2 linked regions of the Neodiprion lecontei genome follow. The protein of the gene in region 1 binds, or shares a complex with, the protein of each later gene. Links are inferred from orthologs where the notes say so. Each region holds a gene or a part of one and is shown in the gene's direction. Other genes may lie near its edges.

Region 1 (17,250 bases):
GTGCATCGCACCTGAGATACTCCCAATTGCCCAGCATAACTATACCAGGAAAATAATAGTTACATCTGTCATACCGTAATCCATTTCTTGTTAAGTATATTCGATTCTCATCAACAATGCTAAGTTACCAAAAATTCAAAGCACAAACTCATAATTTATTTACTTTTTGGCATAATAGTACATGCACTTTCAGCGCTTACAGTCTAAAATAAATGCTATTAAATTCGAGCTTACGGTATTGAGATTCTTCCAAGACCACTCCGTACCATTGACTTGGTTCTGTAATTTTTCGGTCATAACTCTCTCTGTGTCAACATAGTCGAGATGCGTTAGATAAACTAAGGTCTCCCTCATGTTTTTGTAGAGGTTGATTGAGTCAGTATCTTTCATGAATTCTCTGACGACTTCGCCATTTTCGTTTTCCACTACCAATACTTCTTCAGGCTTAGCCATTCGACTGATCATAATATACCGAACCTTGGTCAGCACAGGGAAATAAAATAGCCTTCGTGGTGGTATGGCTAAATTATTTTTATTTACGAACAAAGGCGATGGCGTAGTGAATGGGTTTTCTCTGTACAAATCGGCAGCCAGTCCATTCCAATATTCCAAACATATTTTGAATATCTCAACTTCTTCGACTTCGGAAATCAGCACAAGGTAATGAAGAGCTTTTAAAAGTGTTTCATTCAGTTGCTTTTTTTCAACAAGCGGCCCATGTTCTTTTAGATATGTGCACAGAAACATCGCCAAGTTCTGAATGAAATTCTGTTCTTGGTCCTGTCCTACAGCATACGCATCACGGATATTCGTTTCAAGTGAAAGCATTTGCTCCAATTGCTGCATTGTGTTAGCGAACAAAACCACAAACATCTCGTCGTAGCTTGTTACTGTGACTGCAGCTATTTCAGTTAAACACTTTAATGTAACATTACGAAATATCGGCACGTTCAAAAACTGAAAACAAAATTACTACTTAGTTTTCCAGTTCTGCAAATGCTAATAAACAAATTTTGAGACTGAAAAAGATACATTTTTTCTAATTTTCATTGTGGATTGGAATGTTCAAAAGGGTTTCTACTCTGAAATTTTTATCTTTGAAGTAGAGTTTCATTTAAATTTTGAGTGTTACATCTCACATAAACATGTTCAACTGTTAGAAATTAGAAAATTAATAAAAATGCTATGTACCAAGTGAAGCATATTAAATCATGAGTATAATATTCCGAGTTACAGTATTGTTTCAAGTGAATTGAGGAAAGTTCCTTCAAGGGGAAGTTTGCTTACATTTATTATGATAAAACACGAATTGCCACTTTTCGTAGCACAATAAATTGAAAATTCTGTTAGAACATGAAAATTTGGCTACCTTGAAAACTAGGGTGTTGATCAACTTGGTTTCAAATATGTATCCAAGTGGAATCCAGTTGAGGAATCTGAGAAGAGTTTCGAGGGTAACAGCAACTAGAGGAACATTCTGTGAGTTGTCCATGACAAATTGACAAAGCTGGAATATTTGAGAGAACTCGCTACACATTGTATCCTTCAAGTGCTTAGCCTTTGTCTGCGTCATCTGACCACTTGAAAAGTCAAACACTTCTTCGCTGAGAAGTTTCAGAATAGCCATATTATTCTGACATAAGCTTTCGTTGGTTTTACTGGCACCCACAATGTCACCTATGAAGGATTCCCAGTTCTTTGGCCATTCTCGTTTTAGAACCTAAACATCAGCATCACGTGTTAAATAGTGATAATAAGTATTCCCGCAAAGAAAACAGTTTTCTTTTATTTTATTTTTTTTCAATTATTACCTGCACAAGGATCATATTCAGCTTGTTTAAGTAGACCTTAGAGGCCTCCATTGTTTCCAGGTCGCTACTAGTTTTGATGATCAACCCGACAATATACTTTTTAATACCCTCACATTGATTCCTTGGTAGAACTTTCCACCGTGTCTTGATAACCTGCTCTAAGATCTGTAGTGCGTAGTACTTTGTTTGTTGATTCTAAAGAATTAATGAAAAAGTTAGACGCATTCCTGTTTCATTCACATACTCTGTTCATTCAAGATTCTTTATTTCGGAGAGAAAAATGAACATCATAATGACCATTTTTTTTTTTTAAATCACTGTGAAATTGACATGATCATACTAAACTTTCAGAGTTTTGAGGTTTTTCAGAACTCGTAATTTAATTCTATCTTGATTCAACTGTTTCAAGATTGAAATTTTATACAAATTGTTAGAACCACTGAAAAAAATTAGATGCTGAAGGTTTCCACTTTTATTCTGAAGTTTACTTATTCCAAAATGTTAACTTTAGTGAGAACTATTAATTCTGTGCAGCTGAACTTTTTTCTTTGTCTAAAATAAATTCCAACTATCCAAAAAAAATAAATTGATACTCTTCTTACTTTCTGGTCTATAGAATTTCGCAATCAATTTTAAATTTTCGAAATCACCAACTTAAATGGCTAACTATAATAATTTGATATTTTTCTTTGTTGCAATACAATGAAAAATTGAAGGGAATTATTTTTATTTGGTAATTGATGTCAAATAGACCAAAAAGGCAACGGTGCTAAATTTGGTGTGAATAACTTTCAGCTAAGAGTTACAGAATTAACCAAATCATTTATGGTGATGCTAGTGGAAGGCATGACCATGTCTCTCTACATTGACGGCTGTTGATTATGAAATGATTACTTGAATAAAAAGATTTTCACACTTTTCATTCAATGGTCAAAGTTTTCTCTACAATTGGCATAACTCACCTGTGAGTATTCTAAGATGGTGTCAACTCGTGTCCACGCATCTGGATGTTCTTTGAGGGTGGTTAGCACTTCCTGAGCAACACGCTGTTGTTCACCAACCCCAGTATACATGCATCCGACTATATTATCCAGGAGCGTGATGTCCAGCTTTTGGTTGAAGTCCAATAACTTGGACGCTTGCTCTGCAAGTGTCGCCATTGCACTCACTTATTACCCTTGCTTTCACACACTCAATCTGCACACAAAAAAAATATCATTATTTGCATTGTTACTTGTAATGCGTCAACAGTGATGAGCCTGCACTACGACTCTAGTAAATATTTTAGTTTAGAGGTTGCTGCTGATCAAATAGAGACTAACAGTTGCATGTAAACAGTAGAATTGTGGTAACTAAATTTTAATGAATACTGATAACTTATAATCATAACATTCTAAACAAACAATATTTCCTAGGCAATCTTATTTACATATGGGTACCTAAAAACAAAGTGCCCAACTGAGGGACTAATTTTTTCGAGTTTCTTTTTACCTAACATAATTTTTAAGCATAGCTCGTGCAGTGTAGAAAGACACAAAAACTCAGGTTTTAGAATATATGTGAAAATTTGCGAATTATGATAAATCCGGAAGCATATGGTCTGACAACGTAATTTCAGCTTGATAGAATAAATAAACAAAAATTACAATGTAAAAATGTTCATTGACCGCTATAGAATACGTTGTTCCCAAGTTGTTTCGGTGTGCACTTAAACAGCGTTTGTTAGCAAATTTGATAACTGATCAATATTTGCCATGAAGTATGATGCACTTGCGGTTCAATCATTACAATTTCAATAATATTGAAATATGAGACTACATGGAAAGATTCCAAAGTGCTTAAGAACAAAATAAGCAAAAGAAAAATAATGAAAACATCATTAACTTTCGAATTGATTTCTCAATGATTAATTAAAATTAGATATCAAAGTTTAAGCACATGCCCCGACATGTGTAATCACGTATGTTTGTTTATTCAATGAGGACAATACATTACTTGTTTTTAGATTAAATTTCAACGCAACAACTCTCAATCTAAGAACATTTTCATTTACTGATACAAGATTTAAAAATTTGTAAGTACGATGCTTGGTGCACCTAGTTTCCATCCAATTTTTGATACCGATAGCATCGAAATTGATCTTGCTAAGGAAACATGCCCAAAAAGTCACTGAAATTCTGAAATCTGAATCTCAAAGAACCTTCAAAAAAGATGCATCCATTATTCTAAACTTCATGCCATACATAATGGGATGGTGCTTGATGTATACTTTGTCTATTCAGAAGAGAGTTGGGAAGGGGAGGGAGGGGAGGGGGGATCATGTGCCATGATTAATTTGGGGATAAATAAATTTTCCGAACAAATGTTGAGAATTCAAGGAGCCCGATTCCTCCACGTGCCGAAAAAACGGAAAAAACCAAAAATGCTAGGAAGCGTGCCGCAGGGGAGGTCACCGCACTGCGACCGACCGAACAACCGACCTAACCTACATCTGACAATCGCAAACAAGGTTATGTGAATTTCGGATTTTGAAATATAGTGTAATATTTAGAGTGGAATCGGATGAGTAGAGGAAACGATACTAACATAATGAGACTCGACGACGACTACCGGAGTTAGGTTAAATAGTGTAAATTCGGTCGTCCAGGAAGCCCGGCTGCCGTTTTTCCATTGCGTCGTTGCCCGTTGGGCGAAGGTGATTTGAGATTGAAGGTTTTGACCTACCGTATAAACTCTTTCATACAGCTTCCCGTCCCCGGGGTAAAAAAAAGGACGTTTTATTTTCTTTCTCTCGCCAGTCGTTACGTTTCAGAGTAATTAACCACAAGCACAAAAGGGCTAAACACACAAGTCGACGATTCCCGCGCGCTACACACTTCTCGCTCCTCGTTCCACACACTCGCAGTTTCGCTCTTTCTCACTCATTTCTCCAACTCTCTACTTTCTCTCTCTTCCACTATCAGAATCAAATACACTAAAATAATATACCCACCGAGGCCGATGTACGTCAAACCTACTTTCCCCAGGTTTCATGCGAATTTCATGTGATTTTTTCCACCGATAATACGAGCAAACCCGTCAACTATGTCGTCGCGAAACCCAACCTAAAGATTTTCGAAAATAATAACAAGATGGCCGAAAATTTTACGCGACAAATGCGGAGAAACAACGTTCACCATTGGTAGGCTACACCAATTTCGACCAATCCTCAATCGCATAAACGATAGTTTAGTATGACGTCAGTGGACGTCACATGACGTCACGGAAACACGTGTGCTCATTTTTACCTTGTAATAAAAATTTACGGAAGGATTCTGTTTTTAAGTGTATCATATTTCGAAATTGTATTTATTTCTATTCGGCGCGCGCCAAAATTTATCCGGACATAATGTACGCTGCATCTATCCTCTCTTTTAAGGAACTTAGAACGCGTTATTTGAAATTCCGCAATATATACTAGCATTCTCAGAAACATCGTGTCATATGATCTGACAATTCTACTAACTTTTCAGTCAATTTCCATCAAACTTTATTCCGCTACAGTCTGCATATTCATGCATATTCGAGATGAGAGTCATTTAACAACATATTTATAATAAAGTGTCAGCACGAAAATGTCGTGCCAAATCAAAGGAATCGCTAATTTGGTCGATTTGCCCAACGTCAAGAATTCCTTACTCAGAGATGCTGGCTCCAAACGTAAGAAAATCCCATTCAATTAAAATCTCAACTGTCATCAATAACAGTAACCACTAAGGTTATCCAATAAACAATATGTACGTTACACCCATCTATATCTACATATTTATACCCAATCTTTCAGTGGATTATGTACCGGATAAAGAACTACCTCTTCAAGATCTTATTATCTCCTTATCACCAGCAGGGGATGTCCTCGCAATTGCTTGGAATAAAAATATGGTCATTCTGACGTGTAAGTTTACAGCAAAAACTCATTGAGCAACAGTACAAGTTTTTGCTTATCACCACAACATCCTCTTGATGACTTTCTTATACAACAAAAGGAGCGATACAATCATCTCGACCTGCATCTGATTTATTACCGATGATAGAATCACAGAATTCTTCATACGAAATAAACTTTTTAAAAACACACAAATAAAATCCACAGAATCGATGATAGTTCCTAGTTCAATAAAACTTACCCCGCTTTTGACAAGCTTATATCGCAGAGCTCAAATAGAGTAGCGGTGATGTTTTCGAATAAGCCTATCAAACTCATTCTAGCTTACGAGCTTATATGAACAGTTTTTCCCTACATTAAAAAGAGGTATAAGCAAAATAAAATGCCTTTCAAGAGCCTTTTAAATGCATAGCTGTTTCCACACCACAATTGGGCTAGATATAACTTTATTCTGTGTCAAACGACAAAACGTTAAATAGTACAAATTTTGTAAGCATAAGAGACACAAAGTCATACTATATATATTTTTGCAATAATAGAGTAAGAATATACAAAATGTTAGTACGTGAACTGAATATATTCAATTTGCGAAGCCAAATAGCTCGGTAAAGTTCTTCATAAATTTTAGATCCATCTTCAACCATTATCTTGCTAGTATCACGTCTAAAATTCAAGATTAAGGTGCCGATTACTGGACCTAAAATATTTTCAATTTTTCATCACGGCATAGTAGAAAACTTAATAATACTGAGTATTCAAAAATTTTAACATCTTTCTAATACTAGCCAATGATTGATATGCCTGTATTATACTATAAGCATTAAAGTTCATTTCATACAAATAACGACAATTAATTCCGTAAACGTTGTAATTTTTCACACACTGTTTGTCAATACAGCAAAATGGGATTCGCATGAACCTGGAGATGTGAAAATGAAATTTCATCTTACATGGAGTGGAGATGTAACGGATGAGGAGAAGTAAGTTTTTCTAATTTCGTTGGGCTAGAATGATATTCCACCACAGATTGGGGTTATTCAACAACTTTTATTTTGTTTCAGTGAACAGATAACATGTCTGGCATGTCTACCTCTTATATCTTTAGGCAAAACCAGTGCTGGTAGCGGTCCTGATTGGACCTGTATGGCCGTTGGATTTTCTAGTGGGTTTATAAGGTTCTATACAGAGGTAAACCAGAATTATCCATGAAAAGAAATGTTAGAGCATTTTTTCCAATTTGTATAATACAAGCCAAATAAGTCATTTTTGTTCAGATTACGTACCAAATCATTAATTGTTGTAGACTGGTGCATTGTTGATTGACGAACAGCTTCACAATGAAGCAGTTTTGGGAATCAAATGTCAATCACATTCTCCTTCCCGGCATGTTGGAGATTCTGGACTATCCGAAGAGGTCCATGTACTGTATAACAGTGCAGTTTGCATAATGCAAGGGTTTCCGCTGTTTTCTACCTTGAGAGCATGCAGAAACCACTTGGCTAGAGGTAGTAATTTTAAATGTGTGTATTATTGATAGTGAAGGCATGAGTTTGGTACATTCAATTTTTGATCTTCTAGTGCAGGCCAATTGCAATGCTAAGCCTCCGGCAGCAAATCTTTCATATAAAAAATGGGGCTTTAAGAACCAAGGAATCACAAATGACAGTGAAGTCATTGGTACAACATCCGTAGACACCTTTGACCATTTGATGTCTGCGTCTATTTGTGGTGGCTATAATGCTGCGTATCGCTCTAGTGCACCACAACACAGTCTAGTTATGGCAACTGGCAAAAGACCATTTATTGGTTTTCATTACGCATTGGAAGGTGGGGCTGCTCCAGTTTTATCTGACGTCGCGATTGCTATGGCTAGCAAATTAGCAAGTGCAATAGGAACTGCTGTTCCGTAAGTAGCTATTTGTCATGTGATTTTAAATAAACTTTAGCAACTAAAAAAATTGCAATCGAAAATGGCAAGATAAATTAATTCAGCCATCCATTGTGTCGATATTTCATAACCTAGTGATTATCCCTGTCAAAAATTTGTGAAAATATTTCAGATGGTTTCGTGGAAACAAAAAAACTCCTACATCGCCAGAAAAGACCAAAGGAGTTATAAGCGAACCAGCAGAACCAATGATCTGCAGATTTGGTTTGAGCGATATTATGAGAGAAGGGGATTGCATTGTCGTAAGCCCTAATAGGGCTCTATCTATCGTATCAGATGCTATGGGGAGAGTTACGTTGGTTGATAACAGACGTGGTGTTGCTGTAAGAATGTGGAAAGGTATAATTGAATTTCTTCTTCAAATTCTGTTATGCAACATTTGTTCTCGAAAATGAGACGACTTACAAAATTTTACCGAGTAATAGACATGAGATTAATACTAATTTTACTCACTACGGGCATTATCTCTACATCATTCATATTTATTTCTATTCCCAGGGTATAGGAATGCTCAATGTGGGTGGATTGAAGTTATGGAGGAGAAAAACAATGGATCTCGCAAAAGTCGTGGCAGCAGCAGTAGCAGTAGTAGTGGTAATGTTCACGGTCGGCGAATTGCCTTATTTTTGACTATCTATGCACCAAAGAAAGGAGTAATTGATATTTGGGGAATTCAACAAGGACCCAAAATTGCAACCTTTTCTGCCAGTAAAAATGGACGGTAGGTAATGCACCTGTTAACATATTATATCCTCTATTCACGAAATTATAGACAACTGTTGAGCTACTGAAATGTTTGCAATCATAATTAGTTCTCCAGATCTGATCTCGCACAAGACTAACAGTTCGGAGAATAAGAAGCGAAGCTGCTCTGTAGACCATTACAATAATATGAAAGAATTACCATCCTAGTGTTTTTTTTTTTGTTTTACCTTCGTAAAATATGTCTAATGTTATTCTATCTGTGATATATCTAAAATTACAAGAAATCGTTGCAGGCTGCTATACACAAATTACGGTCTTCTGGGTTTAAATGATATGACGATGTCATCTGCAAACCGTGCGCAGTATCCTTGTGTGTTTGTTGACCCTTTGGGAGGTCTGAAAGAAGTGATTGTTCCATTTCACTTCGCTCTGAGTAGTAAAAATGGAAAAAGGGCTCGAGACTTACATCTGCTCAAAAAATTGAAAGCATTTCTAAGGGAGGAAGAGTTTGACAGTGAGAAATTAATTAACGAAGTTACTTCTACATGTATGGATTTCAAAACGAACGAAATTCGCCTGCAGGCTGTAGAAATGTTGATGGTCAACAAGCATATCACCCCCGAATCACTACTAGCAGCATTGGACGTATTTGTTGAAAACCTATCGCAATATAGTAAGTTGCTTTATGACGCATGTATAAGGAACACGACTAATGACATATCAATTTATAAACTATTGAAGATTTATCGTATTTCCAGAAGACGATGAGTTTGAACCAGCTGCCAAATCCCTTTATCAAACCTCGACGCGGCTCCAAAGAGTTATTGCGTTTTACAAATCTGTTTACCTGCAATTCAATCAACCTCCTGAGTACAATACCATCGCTTCAGATAGCTTGCCTAGTTGTAAACAGTTATCTGGAATTCTTTTAGCATCTGAAAGAGAGATACGACGTATTTTAAAGTTATCAAAGACGCTGAGTGAATTCGAAAAGCCAAAAAGTAGATCACAAACTAAGGTCCTATTCAAAGAAGATGGCAGTGCATTTGTGGATTTTCTATCTTGCTTTGAATTTGGTGGTTCAGGAGATTTTATTGGCATAAAAAAAGACGTACCGGAAGAAAAGAAACACAACATTTGTAAGCTTTTGCTGAAGCGCACTAGTGATCCTTAGGTTCAAAGTGAGTATAATTTTATTAATTTTATATATTATTGCAGGTCAATTGTTGTATCAGGGCTGGTTGTATTCAGATGATCCGATTACAAATTGGCAGAATGTAGCTCTACACAGTTGCATTCAGCCAGCTATTCTAATGCAATTTGCACTTATTTATTGGTTGCATAAAAAACCTGGGGCCCCACTGGAAGTCGAATTGAAACGATTCAAACAACTTCTTCACGCAATTTGTTCTCTGATAGGTAAATATTGCAGCTACAGCATTCAATTTCCGTGCTATTCAATATATTAGTAAAACACCAGTTCAAGTTCTCTAAAATGTTTCAGAGGTAGAAGAAATTTGTGTTGAATATAATGAGATATCTTCGTGGTGGCAAGAAATGCGAAATATATTGTCAGACTCGACAAATCCGTTCAATGCACTGACAGCTGCGATGGTTTGTAGAGCAGTGGCAATGAAGCTTGAAAAAAGCAAAGATACAGCATACAACAGTGAACAGAAGGATGGTAATGGTAACAAGGATGAAGATGCAGAGAATGGGAATACTAGTGAAAAGATGGAGGACTTAGATGAAGAGCTTAATAGAACCCCAGAAGAAGAGAATTCCAGTTCAACAAGTGATTGGGAAAATGTAAGCAAAGATACTTGCCAATTTACAGCCCTTATCAGCAATCTCGAAGATATAGCTATATTAAATGCTATTGTCAGGTAAGTTGTCAAATAGAACTCATGTGCTGTCATGGTTATTCCTCAATTGTAGAAAATAACTCTCATATTTAATCCAAGATCTGCCTGACATAGATCATTCACACAACTTTGAATAATAATTTCACACCTACAGTCAAAAGCCACCATCAGACCACACAACAGAATTTTTCAGTCTGCCATTTGAAAGTATGAATATTTCTTTGGGCTATGTTCTCTCCAGAGGCAAAGGTATGTGCATTACACGTTCAGAACTGTTTATAACTCGAAATTAAATTATATTTTTCAATTATTGTATCTTCTTCATAAGGTTCAGTATCAGAAATCGTTGCCAAGTGGCTTAGTTCAACGGGAATTGATCCAGCTCGTTTGATAGACACAACAGATGTGGAGTTTGATCAAATGCAATTGTCAATGGATTCTTTAAAAATAGCAGAATCGTTAGATGAAGCTGCAGCAATGGAACTATCGCAGCAAGACCAAATGAAACTTCTCTCCGTTTCTGTAGAACTTGGCAGTGAAGCGCAAGCAGATTCAACTGCACAAAGTTACATTCTAGGTAGGTAAGATAGCTGATTTCACTACGTTTTCCCTTCCCATTGACTAAACTGTGTCCCAATATTTCAGAAAAATTAACTGTATTGAAGAAATCTTTCCCGTACAGTCTAACGACTAGTGTTTTGCTTGCTAATCTTTGTTGGGAATTTACTATGACTTGGAATAAGGATGTCACGCAACTTGATGCGCTTGAAGCAGCTTTAGCTGTTCTTAGACAAATTCCTATGAAGCAAATGCGACAAGGTTTGTGATAAAATATTGTTTTGTCTAATATATCAACCAGGATACAAAGAACCAAATGATATATACGTCAGACTGTCGTACATTTTGCTTAATATTTCATATCTTTCATTCTGTTGTTTTGTTTGATAGGAGTTTGCTGCCTTCTTTGGACACTGCACATGAAAAAAAGGATGGAGGCGGCAGCAAAACTGATGAACAAGTCGGGAAAGTTGCCAAAAGAAAGATATTGTTTACAGGACGTTGGTGTTTCTGATATGCAACTAATTACACTACTACAACTCTGTGTTATGTTCTTGGATATATTTCTAGACGTAAGTATCCTATATCATTCACCACATTGTGTAAGAGTCACGAAAGTTTGAAGCCATGAATTACACAAAAAGATCTTGAATCAAGCTCCAATTGAATACTGCATAAGAGAACAGAATTTTTCTTAATCGCTTCACTTTCAGGCAGAAGTGATGGAAATTGAGAATAGTTCGATTATAAAATCAGAAGAAATTTGGGAAAGTCATCCCATAGGTCCGCAACCCTTCGCAGCTCTAGCACTTTCTCAAACTCCTGCTTGGTATGAACTCGTGATGCTACATCTGCAATTGGCTAACGTCTTGCACATGATGGCTTACTTTAATCTGAAAGTACAAAAGCCTTTGAACATTCTTTTCGACTCTGTGGTGGGTATTTAAAAAACCGTCTATGTACAGAAACATCGGGACAATGATACTTTTACATTCACGGAATTTCTCACTTTTACAGTCGCATCCATATTTTTTCCAAGACATCACCAACAAAGCATTGCTGACGTGGTTTCGAGATGAAAAACGCGATAGTGCAAGAACCGAGTTTCTTTGTCGTGTAATCACTGCCACTATGGACTCGATTCATCAAGAAACGACGGAAGAAAACAACTTTAGCTCTACGCAAGCTATTACGTGGATGAGCAAGTGTCAAACACTAGCTTCTATATGGAAAATAAATAACGATGAGCTGAGAATTCACCAAGTTTGTCAATTATATATTAACGGATTTGACCGATTGGCTGAAGAGGTGAGAACTGAGAAATAAACTAGTCACACAAAATCTTCAAGCTTACACGACTGTTTACTATTATATAATTAAATATTAGATCCTTACGGCGGTAAATGACACGGAGGGACTTGCAATTAATTTGTTACCTATAGCTGGAAGAAGAATGATGGCTTACCTATCCAAAACGCCAGATCTTCTGGAAGAAATATCAAGAATAAGTCCTACGCTAACTACATATCTCGAGGGCTTGGTAAGTTGAATTAACGACATACATTATTGAGACTCAAATGTGATTGATTCCATCCTGGTTTATTATATTGTAAAATGAAGATGTCTCATTAAATCAAATGAAATGAACATGTGCAATTACTCTGTTTTAGTGTAATCCAAGCGCAGCATATACAAGTTGTTCAAATAGCGATACCATAGAACTTATTCAAAGGGTTTCAAGGACTTTACCTGAAACATATCCTAATTATCACATCGCGCAACTGATGCTTGATGCTACGTTTATTTATGAAGGTAAAACGTGATGAGCCAGTCTTTACTTCTGTCAACAAAGTATTAAAATCACAGACGTGAACCCAGAATGAAAAACGGTAGAAAATGTCACGTTTTTTGCATGATTCTGTTGATCATGAATTGTAAATGATTAGCAAAATGAATTAAGATGATCCTTTCAAAGCTGTCTTGACAATTCAGTGAAATACACAAATTTGAGATGTTACAAATATCATTAGTTCAGCAAAACATTCCTTAAAAAATGATAAATTATCTAAATCGCAGTCGAAGTATGCATGACCAAAAATTTTAGTTTATATTATTAATTTATGAAAAATTTCGAAATAAGGGAATGCGTAATGGATAAAAGTTATTACCTTGTTATTATCATTTGAATTATAATATTACATACTTTACATACTCGTTTAGAAACAGTGGATGCAAACTGTTCACTAAATGCCATACATCAAAGCCAAAATATCGCAACCGATAATTGTTTTCGTCAATTATATCTATCAATCATGTTTTCAATTCGAATTGAAAATAGCATTATGTGATTTATCATTGAGCATTTTGAATGACTGTTTTTAACATATTCGTCATCAATGGTTAATTACATCTAGATAGATAATTCAATAATTGTTTTCAGATAATGATGTTAAATAAAATTATACTGATTACTAAATAACACGTTAACTATTTGAATTCATCACGTGAAACCTATTACTGTAAATACTATTGTCTTACTTGTATTTAAATAATGATACCAGTACGTGTAATGTGTATAACTTTGTACAAAATAAAAAAATCTGGATATATTCCTTGCTCGACTTTTCAGAATTTTTGTATAACCATCCCAATGTAGCCATGTATATAAGATCTCATATATATATTGGCTTGCCGCCATGTCCTGGTATCGTGTTCTTTTTCGCGTGCCATCAGTGTACAATAAATATTTCCCTCCGCAGTGCTTTGCAGGAGTAACAGTTTTTGTTCATTGTGTTTCTACGGTATGACGGGACGTTAACTGAAAATTTCTCACTCTACTGAAACATATTATTTGCCGTCACATTTTCGTCTCAGATTCCAGGTGATATATATTACAATGAACGATGTGACGAAAATTTTCAACGTTTATTTTTTACATCTTTCTTCCACATATTCTTTCTTTGGTACTTAACTTAACGATTTAAGATTACTAGTCTATACAAATAGGAATCATTGACCAGCTAAACAATATTCACTAGTTGTTAGTTCAAAGTAATTCAATAAAAGTAAGAGAATCTTCACTAAAAGTCTGTCATATCTAGTTGGTAATTCTTATGATTCAAATATTCCACTCTCTTTAAAACTAGTCCAAAGATTTTTGAACTTTTAAGTACTACTGTACAGCTTCAACGAGTTATAAATAAAATAGTATAATTATGGCATACTCTCACACATTCTCGGCATTCGTGCATGTATAATTAAATATTAAATATAATCCAAACCTGAGAGACATCAGAGATGTATACACCAGAGGTATCATTTATACAAAATAGCCTCTGTGGTCGATACATTTCAATTCTTTTACCCCTATAATCCTGGTGTTTAAATTTCTAAAATGGGAAACTAAAACAAGAGTACAATGACTCTTGCTATAAGATCACCGGTGTTTTTTTCCATAGAATACTCATAACAAAATGGGACATTGATATGAACTTAGAATTATATCTTTGACTGTTTCATTAATCAAACTTCCGATTCATTTGCCAAATTTTAGAGCCGAGAAACATTTTTTTCACATGGCAAGTATTTTTTTTTTTTGTGCCTTGTTTTGAAAAATGCAATATTGTTTTTGATTTTTCACGCATCGATCTCATTATGCTCGACGCTTTTTTCATTCAACAATTTTTTTCAAAAGGTGTTATTTTCACAACAACTGGAAGTATATAAATATGAAATGAATTTTCGGATTCATTTTACCCATCACCCTGATTTTACATTTCTTGCTTAAAATTAAAACCGAATTACAAATCCCTGAAATTGCGGTCGTGCCACATTCTCCCAGTTCGTGAATTCGCAATGATGAATTTCACTCCCAGGACTGCCCACCGTCGACAGCCACTCCGCCCTAATAAACAAAAAAAAAAAATTCATTTTCCGTAGTAATCGTGAGTAGAATTGGTAATCAGACAGGTTTTTCATAATATCTGCAAAAAATCTGAACTTGTTGAAAAAAGGGGAAAAAAAAAAGAAACAAACTTGCGGTATGTTACACAATCGTTCTCTTTAATCGTTTCACTTATCTGGGCTGTTACTATAATTAAGCGTGAGCCTTTAGCGTACGCGTCAATCAAGATTTGTTTTCTATTGCGTGTCAAGTGTTGTAAGTCTCCACAGTGCGCAATTGGTGCGGTCATTTTGACACCACGAATTTATTTTAATTAAAAATCTTTCCGAGGCATCGTCGTCGCCGTGTCATTTGGCAAATTTCCAATGACGCACGAGCCAAACATTTTTCCTATTAGCAACGTAACGTTTCGCTACAAAGTACCGAGAATAACAGCTGTTAACACAAAATATCGCCATTCCAGTTTATTGTGTACTTTGAAGGCAGAAAAATTATTCACACTCCCAATGCTTGCATCAATGGTTTGAACAATAATGCGATATTTCGGGTCATTTTCCCTAACAATAAGAGAAATTGCAGGATTAATCACGCGACTTCCTATAATACGAAATGCTATTTCACGTGCATCTTTGAAGGTGACATCAATGGGACTAATTACAATTTCAACTTAACTTAACCGCACGACCGTTCTCTGATTTATATCGTTAATGACAAAAATGTCGTGCCAATGAAACTGCACAATGTCGACGGTACCGGATGTCCAAAGCGTACGAAAGAGACGTCGACAAACAGTTCACTTACTTTTATCAAGACTTATGCTGCAATTTCACGCGTTGAAGTCACTCTTATATTGAGTTACGTGCAAGCTTACGTGACTGCGTGAGATCATCGAAAATATGAGCCGAAATCCGTAACGATGTTTTTATTTCGATTTTGATTCCCTTGTTTGCTAAACAAGACGAAAGCAGGCATCGTATTGTTACGGAGACGTGTTTCACCCTTATAGATTTGTTGCTCCGTTTGTTCTACGCCACTGTAAATGTTTGCCGAACAGCCAATTGGCCGTCGAACCAGTAACTGACCACTACCGCGAACATCTTGGATCTCTTTCCGATACCCCGACCTCGCATTTATTCCTCTTGCTTCTCTGATATTTATTATTAGCTCCTAATCAGACCGAGTGCAGTTATTTTTACCTCGCTTTGTCGAACTAGACGTTTAAAGGCGATCAGCTGTTTTTGAACAACACCTGCAGGTTTATTTAATTCAAAAAAAATACTCCATCCTAATTACTTATTGGGTATTTATATAAAGACAAACAGGAATGTTGACACGGAATAATTTTTCATAAGTGACGTAGAGATTGTACTCAATTCAATGTAATCAAATCGGGACTGTTGTACTTTTTGTAGAAAATGACCGATTGTTAGAAAATTATTCTTTACTAGACTGCTGGTTCCTTTGCTATTTGACGTTGTCTTGAATAGATCAGTATCTGTACCCGGAACAACGAAACTTAACGAATTCGCAAACAGTTATAAACTCACTTGTAACTGCGGATATTGCCACATCTTTGCATTATATCTAATGTTTGCAAAGTCACTCGAAGGGCAAGTAAATGCGGTTACTTCCGCTTGGGGATAAGCCAGATCTCGATACGTTTGCTTTTTATAATCACAAAACAGACAAATAACGACTTAATGAGAGGTCGCCAGAAATAAAGCCTGATACAAATTTCTACACATCCCCGTAGTGCACCGCAGTTTGTGGCTGTTCAAGTCGAGATAATTACGTAGAAATTTGAAAAGATTTCACAATATCAGTCAAATAATCAAGAGGATTCGACGTAAATAACGTTACAATTTCCAAGACATATCGAGTTTCAAAAGAAGTAATTTACGCTTCGTTCCTATGACGTTGCATTAAAGCTATAACACTTTAAATTGAGTGTCCGAGAAATGGATTAGTAGAACTAGCTCACACCTAGAAATAACGACGAGCCTTATACTGAGAAACTCTGTCGGACGGAACCCGACTCGATAAATATCGAGTAATTGTTTTATTCCGCGAAAATTGGATTTTAGAAAACAATTGCTCAGTCGTGATAAACGGCCGTCTCAATTTTGCAATATTCATCAGACACTATATCGCCCCACACCCACGTTCATCTGCAAATAAAGAAGACGTAACAGGCGGAAAAATGCAGAGCAGTAGCTGAATCACTCTATAACTTATACGTTGGCTTGCTTCCTCAACCGGCTGCCTGACCATACATTGACCGGTTCTACTTGGAGAGAGTTGTTATCGGCTCGTAACATTCCGGCGAGTGAACATTACGCCGATTCAAAAATTTAGTTCAGAAGCTTGACAATGATCGAGAGATCTGCTCTGCTGAGTTACTTGAAATTCGAACTGCTATTGCGAGGGGAAGCAAATATTCCCAAGTAGATTTTCGTCGGCCATTTCTTCCGCAGGATGCGTTATTAGGTACATACGGATTTAAACTCGGCTGTGGATGTAACGTCTTGAAGTAA
Region 2 (13,862 bases), on another chromosome or scaffold:
TCCTATGCATAAAATATTACAATGTGCAATGATGAGGGGGATTCAACACTTTATTACCTGGCATGTGTCAGACTCAACCCAAACCGGAGTTTCTTTCCTGTTGGCGGACATGTCCCAGACAACTATCACTCCGTCTTCACCGCCAGAAAGAAGTAAGCGCTCTGCACTTGCATAGCACAAAGCTGTTACCTTATTGCTAAAGGAAAACAAGTCATTTCATTACCCTACTATTATCAAGAGAAGAGTGAATAATCACTTGAGAGAGAGAGGACGTTTTGAAGGAATGAAAAAACAATAACTTTATCTAATCAATAACGAATACTTGACGAGTTTGGTAAATTTGATACGTTTTCAGAGATTTTGGAGATATCAAATGATTTCATCAATTTTCACAATATTTCAGGAATTTCAAATATTTCACAGAATTTCAGTGATTTCATAATCTTTGTGATCTGCATAATTTGGTTTGACAAAAAATACATACTGATGCCCCTGAAGTTCGTACGCAGTGCCTTGGCAACCTCCGATGTCCCAAACAATAACACTTTGGTCAAAGCTCCCAGAAAATAACAGATCTTTTTCAGAATTCCAGGCGAGCGTGCGGATACTTCCTGTATGACCTTTCAGAGTGGTGATTAGAGTAGCACCAGTGCTCTCCAATTTGAGCATCGATATCTGTCCCGAATAATCTCCGACAAAAGCATGTTTGGTCAATGATGCAAATCTGTGATTACGTCAAGGTTTTTGCATCAGATCTTCGAGCACTGCCGATCAAATTTATTTTAATCGATTCGCGTGTTCTTTATAATCAAAAAATCAATGCAAAAGGATACTGCAATGCCGTGAACCAAGCATCTGTTTGAAAAGAACCAAGCCTATGTCCGGTTTCTGAGCAGTGAAATTGAAAAAGCTTATCTCGGCCGATACTGAGTACCCATTCACAATTCAAAGCGAATATAATTCCAGTAACTCGACCTTGATGAGAAAGGCACTCTCTCATTGGAGTCATGCGGTTGTAGTCAGTTTCCAATATAAAATCCTTTGAAGAATATGAACAATTCATTCCCAAACTTGGGATTCCAGGGAATAAACAACACAAGACAATCCTGGTATTCAAGGTATTTTCACGTAGTTGATAAATAAATTCTTTTAAAGAATTTCAGTTCTGTTCTATTTTGTGAGTATAAATCACTTTAGAAACAATGTTTCACCATAATTTTAAGGACTGTAATAAGCGACACAAGGATATCGATTAAAGTATTAAATATCTGAGGTTTTTCTTTTGAATTTCATTCTTCTTCATGAAAATACCATGAAATTTAAGCGTCAGAACTAATTCAATATTTTCTGGAAGATAAACTGATTGGACAGTTTAGTTGAGAAAACTTTTATAGAGTTCATATTGTTTGTGGAATTCAATTACATACGTTAATAGCTCCGTTTTCTAAGCCGACAAAAAGCTGTCTCGTTTCTGCGCAATAATGCATTGCCGTTGCAGCAGCACCCATGTATTGGCATACGCTGGGCCAATATTGCCCTGAATCGCGTTTTAGCCATACTCTGACGGTCCTGCACAGAAATCGAAAATTAGGAAAAATAATTACATCCAATAAACAATATTTTTGAATGAAAAAGGACATCAATGGAATTGCTATAGAAGAATATTATTCAATTTAGAGACAAAAATAAAATTGGTGTTCAAAATAAAAATTGACAAAGTAACGATTATTTAGCTGTAATTAAATTCAATGAATTGAAATTCTTTTGGATTATGTGAGTCGAAAAAAGCTTTACATTAATTCTTATTGTTATATTAAATGGTGTTTAGTTATTTTTTTTTTCATGCAAGGCAATTGTCATTGTAAAACGATGATTTTCACTCAGGATTGCCGTATATTAAGGTAGCTCCTGGTAAGACACAAAACATGAGAAAAAAAATTTACAACAAAGATTTATAACAATTTGTAAACAAAGTTGAAGAGTATGTTTTTTCATACACTAAAATTACAGAACAGAATATCAACCTAAGAGGGAAAAAAAGGATGGAAAATCGAGTTTTGGACACAAGGAAGAATTGCTTTGAAAGGCTTTGTTGGCAAAATAAAGGTATTTCTTAACCACAGAATTTGATCAAAAACAAGCGGTGTATTCTCAAGTTTGTGATGATTCAAAATATAGTAACAAATCATCGGGTTACTAGTTTCCTTAATAAGCTATGCAAGATTAAAAGTAATTTTTCTGTGATTAGTCAGAGGTTAGGATGTCCATATTTTCAAATTCGGCAGAGCCGTAACGCGCCAGTAGACGAACAAAGGTCTCATGTAGCCAGTTATTTATACGAGTAATTTAGTCACCAGCGTTATTTCATGATTTGATCATTATTATTGAACAAACAGGGACGTATTTGACATGACGCTATTTAGGGACACAAAAAATACGGTCGTACGCGACTCAACTATTTGCCTTTAATGAACTGGTCGAACGCGCAAATGTCTCTACCCTAACAATATTTGTATGTGGCAACTCGAGAAAACGTAAGTAAGAATGTGAAAAGGCTGAAGTACAGATAAAGTCGAATTTTTCTTGATACATTCGAAATACGAATAATGTAGATCAAGACTGGAAAGACTCGAATCTTCACTTACAAGATTTTCGATTATACAGTGCGGAAGCAGATTGAACTGTACAGTACAATGCGGAATAATTAATGCGTAATATTTGGGGTTGAAGGGGCATACCTGTCATCGCAAATACTGATAACACCGTCTTCTCGGGGTATGATTATCGCCCCATTCACGTCGTCATTACAACCTTCTAGCTTCGATAATAGAATTGGTTTTCGAGTCGTACTAAATCTTTCGTTGTTTACACCCGGTGCTGGTTTAATTTCAGCTGCCATTTCAATTTTTTTAATGTCGTAACCTCGCCTGTATGATTATCATTTGACAGTTGTCAGACTTCGACAGTTCCTACAATCGCGGATTTAAGAATATCTTAAGACCTTCAAGCCTGCCGATGGTTCGTAAAATGAATCAGTACGCTGGTTTAGTTGGCAGCACTTCCAATAATGTTCCCTTTCTTACTCCATGAAGCATGTAGTATTTTGATGCTGTACCCTCAGAGCATTCTAAGGCTGTACCCCAGGGAGACTAGAGTAAAAAGGAGACCCATCTCTAATGGAGGAGCATGCGAAAAATTTGTCCTCGAAAATTTGTCGTTTAGTGGTTTTAGATTTCATTAAGAACAGCGCTGTCATTGTAATATTCCGAGGTGAAGTTGATAAGAATTGACTATATACATACATCGATCGTGACTAAAATGAAATTACTTCTGTCTTTTCACCATTCGTTGGATATTTGCGATTTCAGTGCTGTTCAGCGTCAGCCAGCGCAAACCTTAGTGTATGGATTTTTGATGCCGGATCAAATGTATGTACAGAGATGGGACTTCTTTAGCCTAGTCTCCATGCTGTATCCGCTGTATCTCACTCCTAGAGAATTTTCCGTGTTATCAGCTATTTTCGGCATTTCAGAATACCATATTCGCCTAGTGACATTTTGTTTGATTACCAATTTACGCGCCAAATTTTGATAACCGATATTTGAGATTTAGTTTCTTTACAACACATATTCTAATCTAATAATTCTGTTCGCCACGCCGGCGTGATGAGCTGCATCATAGTTGGCCTCGTAATAAAAACCGAGATGATTACGTACAATGGCAATTATAAGTCTGATTAGGTATGTTACAATCTGCAGTGACGGTGATGTAATCTTTAGCGTTTGATCTACTATTATGAGCGCAAAAAAAGTTAAAGAACTGGAATCTACGTTCTCAGCCAGCAACACAAAACGGAGTAGAATATTCGACGATATTTCATGCTCCAGTCATGGATCCACTAATTGGGCTTCAATTTTAAGTTGCTGCCGAAGACATAAGCGGGAGAGAAGGTTGACTTTGAAGGAATATAACCCAAACGAATGCGATTACATTGTTGAGAAACTTGTAATTAAAAGAGTACCTCTGTCATTGTATGCAACGGCAGAAGATTATCAGGAATTCGTCGACGAAAAAAATCATAAAGAAGTAACACATGCTCCCTTAGCTGGTAAAGAGATGAGAGAAAAGCAAGTCTATTCAGCAATGACAGAAGTGGGATCATCGTTATACTTCCTGAAAAACAAAGTACGAGGCGATTTGTCAAATAGACCATCGAACAAAAATTTGAGATTTAACAGAGATGAAGACCTGTTGGATGAGGACACTTTGCAGGCTGGTCCCTCAAATTACTTCGGAAACGTGTCTTCGCGAATTAGAAAAGAAGAAGAGAATGATTATTTGAATCAATTTTCAGCTCTACATCCAGACTTGAAAATGACCGAAAGACCGCCAAAAGATCCACAACCATTAAATCCACCCCGAAGCAAACGATCGTTAGCTGAAAATATATCAGAAATTGGATCTACCAAAAGGAGTTCCAGCGTAAGATCGAAAAAAGGAAAAGAGAGAAGTAAACACGAAAGTAATGCGTACATCACAGTTTCAAATACTTCGAAAGAAATATCTACCGTTCTTGCTGACGAAGAAATTCCTTCTCGGGATGAAAATATTAACAAAGCCAGTTCACTCATTTCCCGTAAAATAGGCAGCGCATCCTGCATTCCTCACCTTAAAAAATCCTCAAAGGCACGAAAGGAGGGATTACAGTGTGAATCAACTTATCACCAGAATAAATTCTCAGAAAATGATCAACATCCCAATGGTAAATCTACTATCAAGAATTCCCAGTTTAAGGTGCACTATATTTCACCTGATGAGTGTTCAACTAAGCCAATAGCGGAATCTTCTTTCACAAATCGGCCAAAAAATTACACAGATTTACGTGAACCGGATAACGAAGAATCTACAACTGCAGCTACATCCTCCGCCTCTGATGATCAGAAGAGAGCGGACAAGACTGGAGCGACTTTAAGATGGAAAATTATCATCAAACATAATCAACCGACTCCATCGCAAACAACGGAAAAATCCGATTCGAATTTTACCGACAGCTCAATAATTCCTGCTGCAGAAGATGATGCTATTGGTCAATACATAAGAGAAGAATCACGAACATAGAATAAACAAAATTACAAAATTGAAGAAAAAAATGCGGTATATTTAAGAATCTTATGTCTGATTATCTCTCTGTTCATGTTATGAAATTTCTTAAATTAAATAAGTTACTCAAGCATTCGTTGCGTTCGTAAGTTACAAATTCACAACTTGTCGATGCGTCGAAATCGTACTCATATAATAAGGACTTCGAAACCAGGGCTACTCCGTAAGAAGTATAAACTTTACTAAATAAAACTAATTATAAAAGCAATTATTTAGCGTCACAAAATAGAATAGATTTTCTTGAATCTTGAGAATTCTTGAGAATTTTAGAATTATTGCGATATCTCAGGTATGACTCAAATTCTAAAGAGGTTCTGGAAAGAATTCAGATTCTCTCCGAATTACTTTTTGGATTGAAAATCTAAAAAACTCCGATTTTATACTTTTTGACTATTACTGATCAAATCGATCAGTGCAAATTGGAATTCGGAGCAATTCACATGGTCAAGAACCGTCAAGAACCAATCGCACTCTGCGCCGCATGAAGGCCATCTTGAATTCTCAACCAATTGCATTCGAGATCATTCGGCGTACATTATAAAAGTGTGGAAATCTCCACATGGTGCGTTGGGCGCATGGTGTATGTCACGTGTATGTATACGTATAGTGTCGTTTATTTTTAATATGGTATCTATTCGTTGAGAGCCAAATGGGTGCTTTCCATTTACTGACTCAAATCGACTTGTGTCGCTATTTCTTGTGTAACCGGCCAATCTGGGCGAAGGAATACACCAGAAATAGCGACACAAGTCGACTTGAGTCAGTAAATGAAAAGCACCCAATATGGTTTGAGCAGAACGCGACAAATGCGTCCGCTAGGAAACACCTTATGGACTCTGCCGACTCTGCCCTACTCCTAGGGAAGTTTTAGCCCTCACAACTTGATTTCGTAATGCGACTGGGGATTTCGCAGAAATGCGTTTCATGCATAGGCTTCATGTTTTTAACACCGACTCAGCTCCAACTGTCTTATGATATGCCATCGGTGAGCGCTCTTCCATATTCTGTCTTCTGCTATAAATTTGACGTTTAGAAATTTTGAAGTATCAAACCGAATGTGAAGCTTTGAATAGCTGCAATATGAATAATATTGAAATAGAAGACACTTACCATCACGACTTCACCACAGCTTCCGAGTGGGAAGTATTTATTGCGCGTTTAGAGGAGATAATTCGAGAATGGAAATTACCCCGCAGCAAAATATGTTCACCTTTGAAAAAGGGAGATTTTATCAACCTCTCGTGGGAAGCAACATCTGAAAATGTACATTTCGCTGGTTAGTTACTGCGCAGGTTATTTCTTTCTAAACAATTTTTTTGGATTGGCAATTGCAATGAAAAACATACCACACAAATTCGTTTTATCGCTAGATGACTCTGTGCCATTGTTTTTCTTCCATCAACACTAGCAATAATGCATCAGCTTTTTTGGTGATTCATTTTTTCAGATGTAGAATTTTCTCTCAAACATATCAACTTGATAACTCCAAGTGACGAAGCGATTCAAAGTTCCATAGAAGAATGTGAGGATAAGAGAAGTCAATGTCTAATGGATGCCCTGAATTCTACGAACGATTTTGCATCGTTAGATCAGGAACATCTAAATCTAGCAAAATATTATGGAATAAGAGAGTTCATCATACTTAGTCCTGCCAAAGAAGTTGCGATAACTGATGAGACTCGCATCAAAATCCTTCTCAGTTCAATTACAATTGCATCGAATAATTCAAATTGGTTCGTATATTGGGAAAAGACTGCAATGCATGCAGAAGCAATGAGGCACGCCAAAACAATTTCTGTATTCTTGATTATCTGGAAGATGTAATAACAATATATCAATTGTAATAGGGTGAGATGCATATTACACCCAGAATGTACAAGTAATGCAAATAGTTGTGATGTGAAATGTAATGACATACAGAAAATGTGAATGGCAATGTCTTTTGCACTATATAAGGTAGCTCAGTCGAATATTGTTCGGGTATCTTTAATTTAACGTATGGTATTTGCAGCGAAGTTCCTATGTTTGTACAAGTTCAAGAACCTTGGCAATCATTTTACCTAGGCGTGAGTGAGGGGCGTGGAGTCTGCAGCCATTTCGATATGGTGCACTTGAAGAAAGTTCCTCCATACTGTAAATTCCTCAATGGTTAGTCTCATCAGTGTGACGTCACCTAGAGGGTTATTTATTCGTTGCTGAATACTAATGCAACTGACGCAACTGTTCTACCTGGCGTCTGCATAAGTGGATCTCTCTCACCCGGAATCTATGTTTAGCAACGAATATATGACCGTGTATATACTACTTTTTTTATGGTACTTGCATGCTTGATTGGGATTTAACACTGTGGCAAAATAATATAGGATAGAGATGCGTCCAAGTGGGCCACTTGAGAAAGAAAAATTATTATGGTTGTTAGTATGTCATATTTCTATTGCTGGTTAACTATAGGTAACGCAACTATTTCACTTTACTGTCGACAAGTATTTTTTTGGACCTTCTTAGTATGTGAAAAAAAAAATTCTAAAATTTGTAACCAACCCACTTTACCGCAGTCTCTCCTACTACTGCTGCTAGAAAAGAGTCACATTTAATCATATAAATCTATTTTTTTCTCATTTTTAAGCATGAATCAACTAAATGGGATAAACTAGACGCACAACGACTTGCACAAACTTTTTAGTTCTCTAACAATTGTAAAATGAACCTAAAACAATCAGCTGATTACTGCTTCGACACCACATTGCTTCACCACAACCAAATGTTGAATCCTAGAGTCAGCCATGACATTTTTTAACAACATGTGACTGATATCCTTCATAATTCCATATTTAATAGTCAAAATTTTTCACAACAAGTTATTTTCAATGATGCAATATGACTTGGGAAGTAATTTATAGCTGAATAGCAGTATTTGTTTTTTCAAATTATTGATTACAGGCTTACTAACACTGTTCAAACAAAAAATTACTGAGGGATGTGGGATCCGTTTGGACCCTGCTATGGTCTCTGCTCGTTTTACATATTTGCTCAAAGATTGGACCAGCAGTACATGGACACAGGATCCACCAGATTTTGATTTCATGCATGGTGAAACACTCGGAGTCGCGGAACTTGGCAAGCTTCCGTTTGGCGCTACATTTGATCCAGTCGGGTGAGAGTGTACATTTATGTATTGGAATTATAATTTACTCAGTCAATAATACACTTCCAAAGCAAGGAACAATTGAATCATGATAGATTGATGTTGAATATACCCATTCGTGTCATTTTCAGAGAGCTAATCCTTTTCACAACTTGGCCAGAGATGCCCGAAAATGTTGTAGTGGATAGTGAAAGTTATACAGATCTAGAGCCGCAACAAGCCCCAGAATGGTCTGTTCAAGTGAAAATGACGTCATCCCCAGCCTGTTTGCTTGGCGAATATTTGATAGACTTTATACACTTGTGTTCTAACCAGAAGACGTTGTTTGAATTGCTAGGTGATTTTGTAAGTTATACTGAAGGTGATGGTCAAAATTTGAGCTCCGCTTTCAATGCGTTAACGGAGTCTAGAGTACCGGCACTTTCAACAGTCGTTAGCAAGGCGGCAATCAAGAAGACAAAACCAGTTGAGGGTCCAATTTCGGAAGATATACTCTTACCAATACTTTACTTCTTGTTTCCAGATGCTGAAGATAACCCGGTGAGCATTAATGGTTCTCTACAGTGACAGCAGGGGTGAAAATAACTCTCAGAAATTTGACACGACCTTTTGTAAAAATTTTTCAGAAATATTCAATGTTTTTGAATAGTTCTGAGAAACAGCATTACCTCTACTGGAAAAGTTTAAATTACTCTGATAACATGTGAGGGAATCCACAAAAGTCTAGAAAATTTTTGGAAGAACTAATATTTGATAGGAACTTCATTTTCTACCAGCAATGTGGAAAAATCCGAGTTATTAAGTTTTTGACTATTTTTGACCAAATCAAGTTTGAGGTATAAAATCGGATGGGTTTCTCAAAACAACTTACAGATGCGTTTTCAACATTTTTATATTGACAAATTTAAAAACTCCGAGTTTTACTATATATGGCTATTTCTGATCAGGTCATGTTCGAAATTAAAATTGAATTTTTATTGAAAATTGCTATTTTGTCAGAACTTTGTTTTGTATCATAAAACTGAAAATTCAGAGTTCTAGTATTACTGCGTATTTTCCGACGGAACCGCGTTACGGAAAATTGGGATGGGTTTTGGAGAAAAATTAAAAATTTTGAGGAAGCAGTTGAAATTATTCTGAAATTATTATTATATAATAATTCTAAAATGTACTTGAAAATATCTAGACATATATTTGTGAAAAGAATATTTGCAATAAGACTAGTTTATGAAATTTTTTCAAGAGATTGCAACAAATATCAAGGATTTTCTATAAAGAGATTTTACAGAAAAAAAGTGAGAAACAGTCGGAAATTCACGTTGTTACTAAATTTGTCAAGATTTCTAAACGTTATTGAAAATAATTTTTACCAAAACAAACATTTGATTTATCGCGATGATCATAACAGTCTTTACGTTTTACAATTTCAGAAACAACCGTATGCCAATGCAAATGCATATAATGTCGAAGATGACCAGTGGAAAGGTGTAAAAACTGCTGCAGTAGACAGTCTTGTGTGGCGGTTGTCTATTGTCGCTGCTCATTGTGCACACAACCTTGGTGGAGCACCAGCTTTGGCGCATCTGTGGCACGAGTTTGTTCAAGAGATTAGATTTCGCTGGGAAAGAAATATCCTCATTCCAGGGTAAGTAGAAAGTTAGTTTTCATTAGTGTGCATCATCAAACGGTTGAAGCCTGCAGTACTGCATTGTTTCTAGAATTGAATTGATAATATTCTCCATGTGCGTATGCCTAGACTTTTTTTTAAACATTCCCTTTACAAGTCACGTTTATGTTAGCCTGATTAATTACCTTTAGTCAAGTTAATTATCTGGGAAACTGTCTCTATATCGTCAACAAAGTTTCTTTTCTTTGATTTCTTTTCTTGTACTACATAATCAACGATTCCTGTCGCAACACAAAATGTGGTGAGGACAGTTTTACCATTAATTTATCTTCAAAAAAACGTAAAAACTGTCTGGCAGCATTATTTTTGTAAAAACATTTTCAACACCTAATTTTTTTTTAATCGAACTTAAGCGGTATAGTATGATACATTAATACCTAGCTACTTTTAGTTGACTTACGCTAAACGATTTCAAGAATTTATGGACCCAAAATCGAAAGTTGGGAAAAAGGAAGAAATTGTTGAAAAAAATTACAGAAATGTTATTTGTGCCAATGATAGTGAATGCGATTAAAACTGCTCTCCTATTATGTGATAGAAATAAATCTGTGCGACTTTGAATAATACAAATTCAGATATCATCAATTTGAGAACAAATTTTATAATTAGAACGTTTGAATTTAGTGTTTTTGAATCGGTTCTAATATGGGCTTATTTTACTCACTAATCAGACACCCTGGAAAATTCTCGAGCGATTTTATGTCATAGTATAGTTATAACGTGAAAATCTAATTGTTGACTAACATTCTTTGCACCGTACTTACAGAAATATATTCTTTATCCAATCTGGAGATAACTGTCTGTAAAATTTTGTTAAGGTGATCTTTGAAAGCCTCTATAGTGAACATAATGAGCCTGAAAACATTAGAATTGGATCTAAAACACCAAAATGTAATGATTTTGAATTATTCAATTAAAAGTAGTTTTTACAAATTGTTGATGACATCGTAGCTTATGATACTGGAATTTATTCAGATTCACTGCTATTACATAGTAGGGCACTATCATCGGTACAAATAATATTACTGGAAATTTGTCAAAGGATTTATATTCTTTTCCAAACTTTTGATTCAGATAGTGGGGCCCATTGGTTCTCTAACATGGTTGAGCAGAATGATGAAGAATACACATTAAGATCATAATGGTACAAGACCACCCCTCGTTGTTGGGTTTCGCGCCATATAAATATCCATGTCATGATCCGTCCAGTTGTTTTCCTCGTAGTTGTTCAGAGTGTGGTTTGAGTCTGCTAAACTGTACCTACTCCCTGGGCGAGGCGGGTCTTGTTCTAATGTGCGATTACGCGATCTCGGACGCTGTCGCCTAGCTGATGTGTGCGGCTGATGGGCCTGGTTGGTCGGGAAGCTGGCCCGTGAAAGCCTGTCCGACGCCGCTGCGAGAGACTGGCGTGACTGCCGCAATTCTGAATTATAAGCAGAATTATTGACAAAAAAGCCTATAAGTGATGGATACTGATCCTGGTGTAAATTTTTTTATAAAATGCCATAAACAGAACTCTGAATCACAAAATTTTCGTGACATTTGGAGCAAACAAATTTTCATCGGAGGAAAAATGTGAAGCGTGGAACTTTGAACTCACCTGGTCGTGAACTGATAAGATTCGATGGTACGGGATTTGACCCGAAATATCGTGTCGAATTGTTCGAAAAACTATGCTGTGACTGTCCGTCAGCAATTGACCGAGTCGAGACTTTTCCGACACCAAAATGTTGACTTTGCGGCCTCATTTCATCGATACATGCAGCTCTGTTTATCGAACCTATTAGGAAACGAATGAAGATTATTAATATCCCAATGAATGGAATCAAAATCGACCGTTCCATCAATTTGAGTGTACAGACGAGCCATAATTATCAGAGTGTGATAACTTGACTTCACAGAGAAAGTATCATGCCTCTGGATCGTGGGTTGTGCTGAAACTTAGGATCGTTTTCTTGGCTTAAAATATCGAGCAAATCATACAACCTTGGCGTTCCATTGGGAAAACTCTTGGCCTAGGGATGCTCCTAGTGCTGTAGGCTGATACTTGGTCCCAGTCCTTTTGATTGTTGAATGCGCTCAAAGTCGCCAATGAAGACAACGGTCCACCCGGGCTTGGAGTTGGCCCAATACCTGAACAACAATTGACCGGTAAGCCTGCGATAGGTCCACCCATTTTATTTTGATCCAGATTATGGAGGGTGTGCAATTTCCTGGCTCTTCGTCGATTCGCGACGACGAAGATCACGACGGCAACGACGATTGTCGCACAGATTGCAGCGCTGGCTGCAATCGTTATTTTGTCCATGTTTGAGGTCGGCGAATTCTCTGTCCTCACTTCCTTGCATTGGTTATACGGAACATTCGCAGGGCTCATGTCTGTCTCTTCCGACGAAACAACGCAGACTATCATGCACTCCTGAAATCAAGATCTGAATACGTGAATTACACGATTTAAACATTGTAGACGGTTGAATGTCACATTTTTACCTGAGCGGGAACATTCTTTATTTTAAATTCACGCTCATTGTTGCCAAGCGGTGGACCGGACTTGAAACTAGTCTCACCAAAGAGACGGTAAATTACTTTGAATCCAATACTGTTCAGGCCTTCAGTATCCCAGTAGATGATGACTGTGTTATCCTGCCTCAAAACGTCTTTGACGATGATCCCCTTGTCGGATCCCCTAGTCATTTTGTAAATAGGGGATCCGAGGACGAGTGGCGGTTTGGGCTGGTGTTGTTGTAAGATACTGTGATCTTGCTGATGCTTCAGAGGCGATATTGTCGTTCTGGTTATGACAACGTTGCCGGTTCTACTCATGGAGGGTCTGCTGGTTGTCCGCAATGTTGTTGTAGAAACAACTGGGTCTTCTGTGATCTTTTCCAAATTAACAACCGAACGATGTGTACTGGATGATGACGATGATGGGGGTGCAGTTGATGGCCGTTGAGTACTAGTTGTCGACGTACGAGTTGGTGGCAAGACTGCTTCTACTGTGTCTTCTTCCACATCACCTACGATATCTTTTGTATCCACACTTTCTACCGTGCCAACGGCAATCACTCCAGTAGGGCAGACCAGTTCTAAAATTGTTATCTCTATAAATACTTGATATTCGACACACAGAGTATTTCTGGTAGAAAGTTTTCGTTCATAAACTGCAAAGAAATTTCATTCAAATATTATGATTTTAGAGAAATTTTAGAGCGTTTCATCGCATTTCGGAAAGGTTTCCACCAGAGTTGATATGCTAACAACTCAACGTTTTTCTAATAGTTGTCGGTTTTCACATAGTCTCAGCAGATTATAGAACGTCTCTGCTTGTACCAAAACAATTTTAACACCATTGAATATGAAGCAAATAATTCAGGACAGGTGAATCTGCGCTTAATAATATTTCAAATGTAATAAGCAGTCTTACAATATCGGAAACTCCAATTTCAGTATATGCCATCTTGTGGCAGTGAATTTACTACACTAAATAGGCCTCTGCGTTTTTCTCTCGATGTTTTTTGCATTTTGATACTTATGAAGTTGACCAAAAACGATCAGCTGATGACCTGATTCGTCGCCACATTGTTCTAAAGACGCCCGCATAAAGGATACCAATACTTATAGCAGTTTTAAGATATTGAAACAATAACCCTACGAATGAAAATCAAAGCAGAGACTGTCGCACCTTCGGATTTGATGCTGTAAAACGTTCTGTTCTGCAGATTTCCTGGGCCACCACAAAACTGGGGTTTCTCTCGACTGGTAACTTGCAGGTCCTGGTTGCGTATCCATTCGATAATCCAGCGAAGCTTGCAGTCACAGTTTAAAAATGGTCCACCAAAGCTCAAACCGCGCAATGTTCCGTTGAGGTGC

Evidence for each region.
Region 2: the proteins of rab3 GTPase-activating protein non-catalytic subunit (region 1) and rab3 GTPase-activating protein catalytic subunit are in contact, whole or in part, in a cryo-EM structure (PDB 8VYB), measured with the Homo sapiens proteins. The link is inferred for Neodiprion lecontei from reciprocal best matches to the Homo sapiens genes RAB3GAP2 and RAB3GAP1. Residues at the interface, in NP_036546.2 of Homo sapiens: Arg197, His198, Pro199, Gly200, Ser276, Pro277, Phe278, Asp279, Met281, Lys282, Ser285, Asn286, Ile287, Gly289, Phe290, Asn291, Ala292, Ile294, Arg377, Phe378, Gly379, Leu380, Pro381, Asp382, Arg385, Cys395, Thr397, Leu398, Arg407, Arg415; in NP_036365.1 of Homo sapiens: Thr19, Ser21, Trp23, Glu24, Glu142, Ser143, Asn146, Leu147, Leu149, Ser150, Ser153, Ile154, Ile169, His170, Trp173, Arg174, Met176, Arg187, Asp189, Glu191, Met192, Val193, His194, Leu195, Arg196, Pro199, Tyr202, Ile211, Ser214, Lys215.

Annotation. Positions count from the first base shown.
Region 1 is NC_060262.1:35,770,868-35,788,117, forward strand, and holds rab3 GTPase-activating protein non-catalytic subunit, read left to right. Parts: upstream 1-5,354; 5' UTR 5,355-5,425; coding exon 5,426-5,510; intron 5,511-5,634; coding exon 5,635-5,745; intron 5,746-6,634; coding exon 6,635-6,716; intron 6,717-6,797; coding exon 6,798-6,924; intron 6,925-7,039; coding exon 7,040-7,241; intron 7,242-7,314; coding exon 7,315-7,642; intron 7,643-7,796; coding exon 7,797-8,023; intron 8,024-8,182; coding exon 8,183-8,405; intron 8,406-8,682; coding exon 8,683-9,062; intron 9,063-9,147; coding exon 9,148-9,528; intron 9,529-9,607; coding exon 9,608-9,808; intron 9,809-9,893; coding exon 9,894-10,275; intron 10,276-10,408; coding exon 10,409-10,503; intron 10,504-10,582; coding exon 10,583-10,831; intron 10,832-10,899; coding exon 10,900-11,073; intron 11,074-11,202; coding exon 11,203-11,384; intron 11,385-11,525; coding exon 11,526-11,747; intron 11,748-11,829; coding exon 11,830-12,120; intron 12,121-12,199; coding exon 12,200-12,352; intron 12,353-12,482; and 3 more. Other genes in the region: exportin-1, read right to left, coding at 1-39, 235-957, 1,370-1,720, 1,812-2,006, 2,774-2,971; acylphosphatase-2, read right to left, coding at 14,602-14,716. UniProt on the Homo sapiens protein: Regulatory subunit of the Rab3 GTPase-activating (Rab3GAP) complex composed of RAB3GAP1 and RAB3GAP2, which has GTPase-activating protein (GAP) activity towards various Rab3 subfamily members (RAB3A, RAB3B, RAB3C and RAB3D), RAB5A and RAB43, and guanine nucleotide exchange factor (GEF) activity towards RAB18.
Region 2 is NC_060261.1:12,356,059-12,369,920, forward strand, and holds the start of rab3 GTPase-activating protein catalytic subunit, read left to right. Parts: upstream 1-6,101; 5' UTR 6,102-6,240; coding exon 6,241-6,436; intron 6,437-6,607; coding exon 6,608-6,893; intron 6,894-7,171; coding exon 7,172-7,308; intron 7,309-8,100; coding exon 8,101-8,314; intron 8,315-8,436; coding exon 8,437-8,845; intron 8,846-9,735; coding exon 9,736-9,950; exon of another isoform or gene 9,951-11,128; coding exon of another isoform or gene 11,129-11,415; intron 11,416-11,592; coding exon of another isoform or gene 11,593-11,772; intron 11,773-11,978; coding exon of another isoform or gene 11,979-12,411; intron 12,412-12,482; coding exon of another isoform or gene 12,483-13,078; intron 13,079-13,674; coding exon of another isoform or gene 13,675-13,862. Other genes in the region: WD repeat and FYVE domain-containing protein 2, read right to left, coding at 58-196, 485-724, 834-1,039, 1,428-1,569, 2,739-2,899; leucine-rich repeat and fibronectin type III domain-containing protein 1-like protein, read right to left, coding at 11,129-11,415, 11,593-11,772, 11,979-12,411, 12,483-13,078, 13,675-13,862. UniProt on the Homo sapiens protein: Catalytic subunit of the Rab3 GTPase-activating (Rab3GAP) complex composed of RAB3GAP1 and RAB3GAP2, which has GTPase-activating protein (GAP) activity towards various Rab3 subfamily members (RAB3A, RAB3B, RAB3C and RAB3D), RAB5A and RAB43, and guanine nucleotide exchange factor (GEF) activity towards RAB18.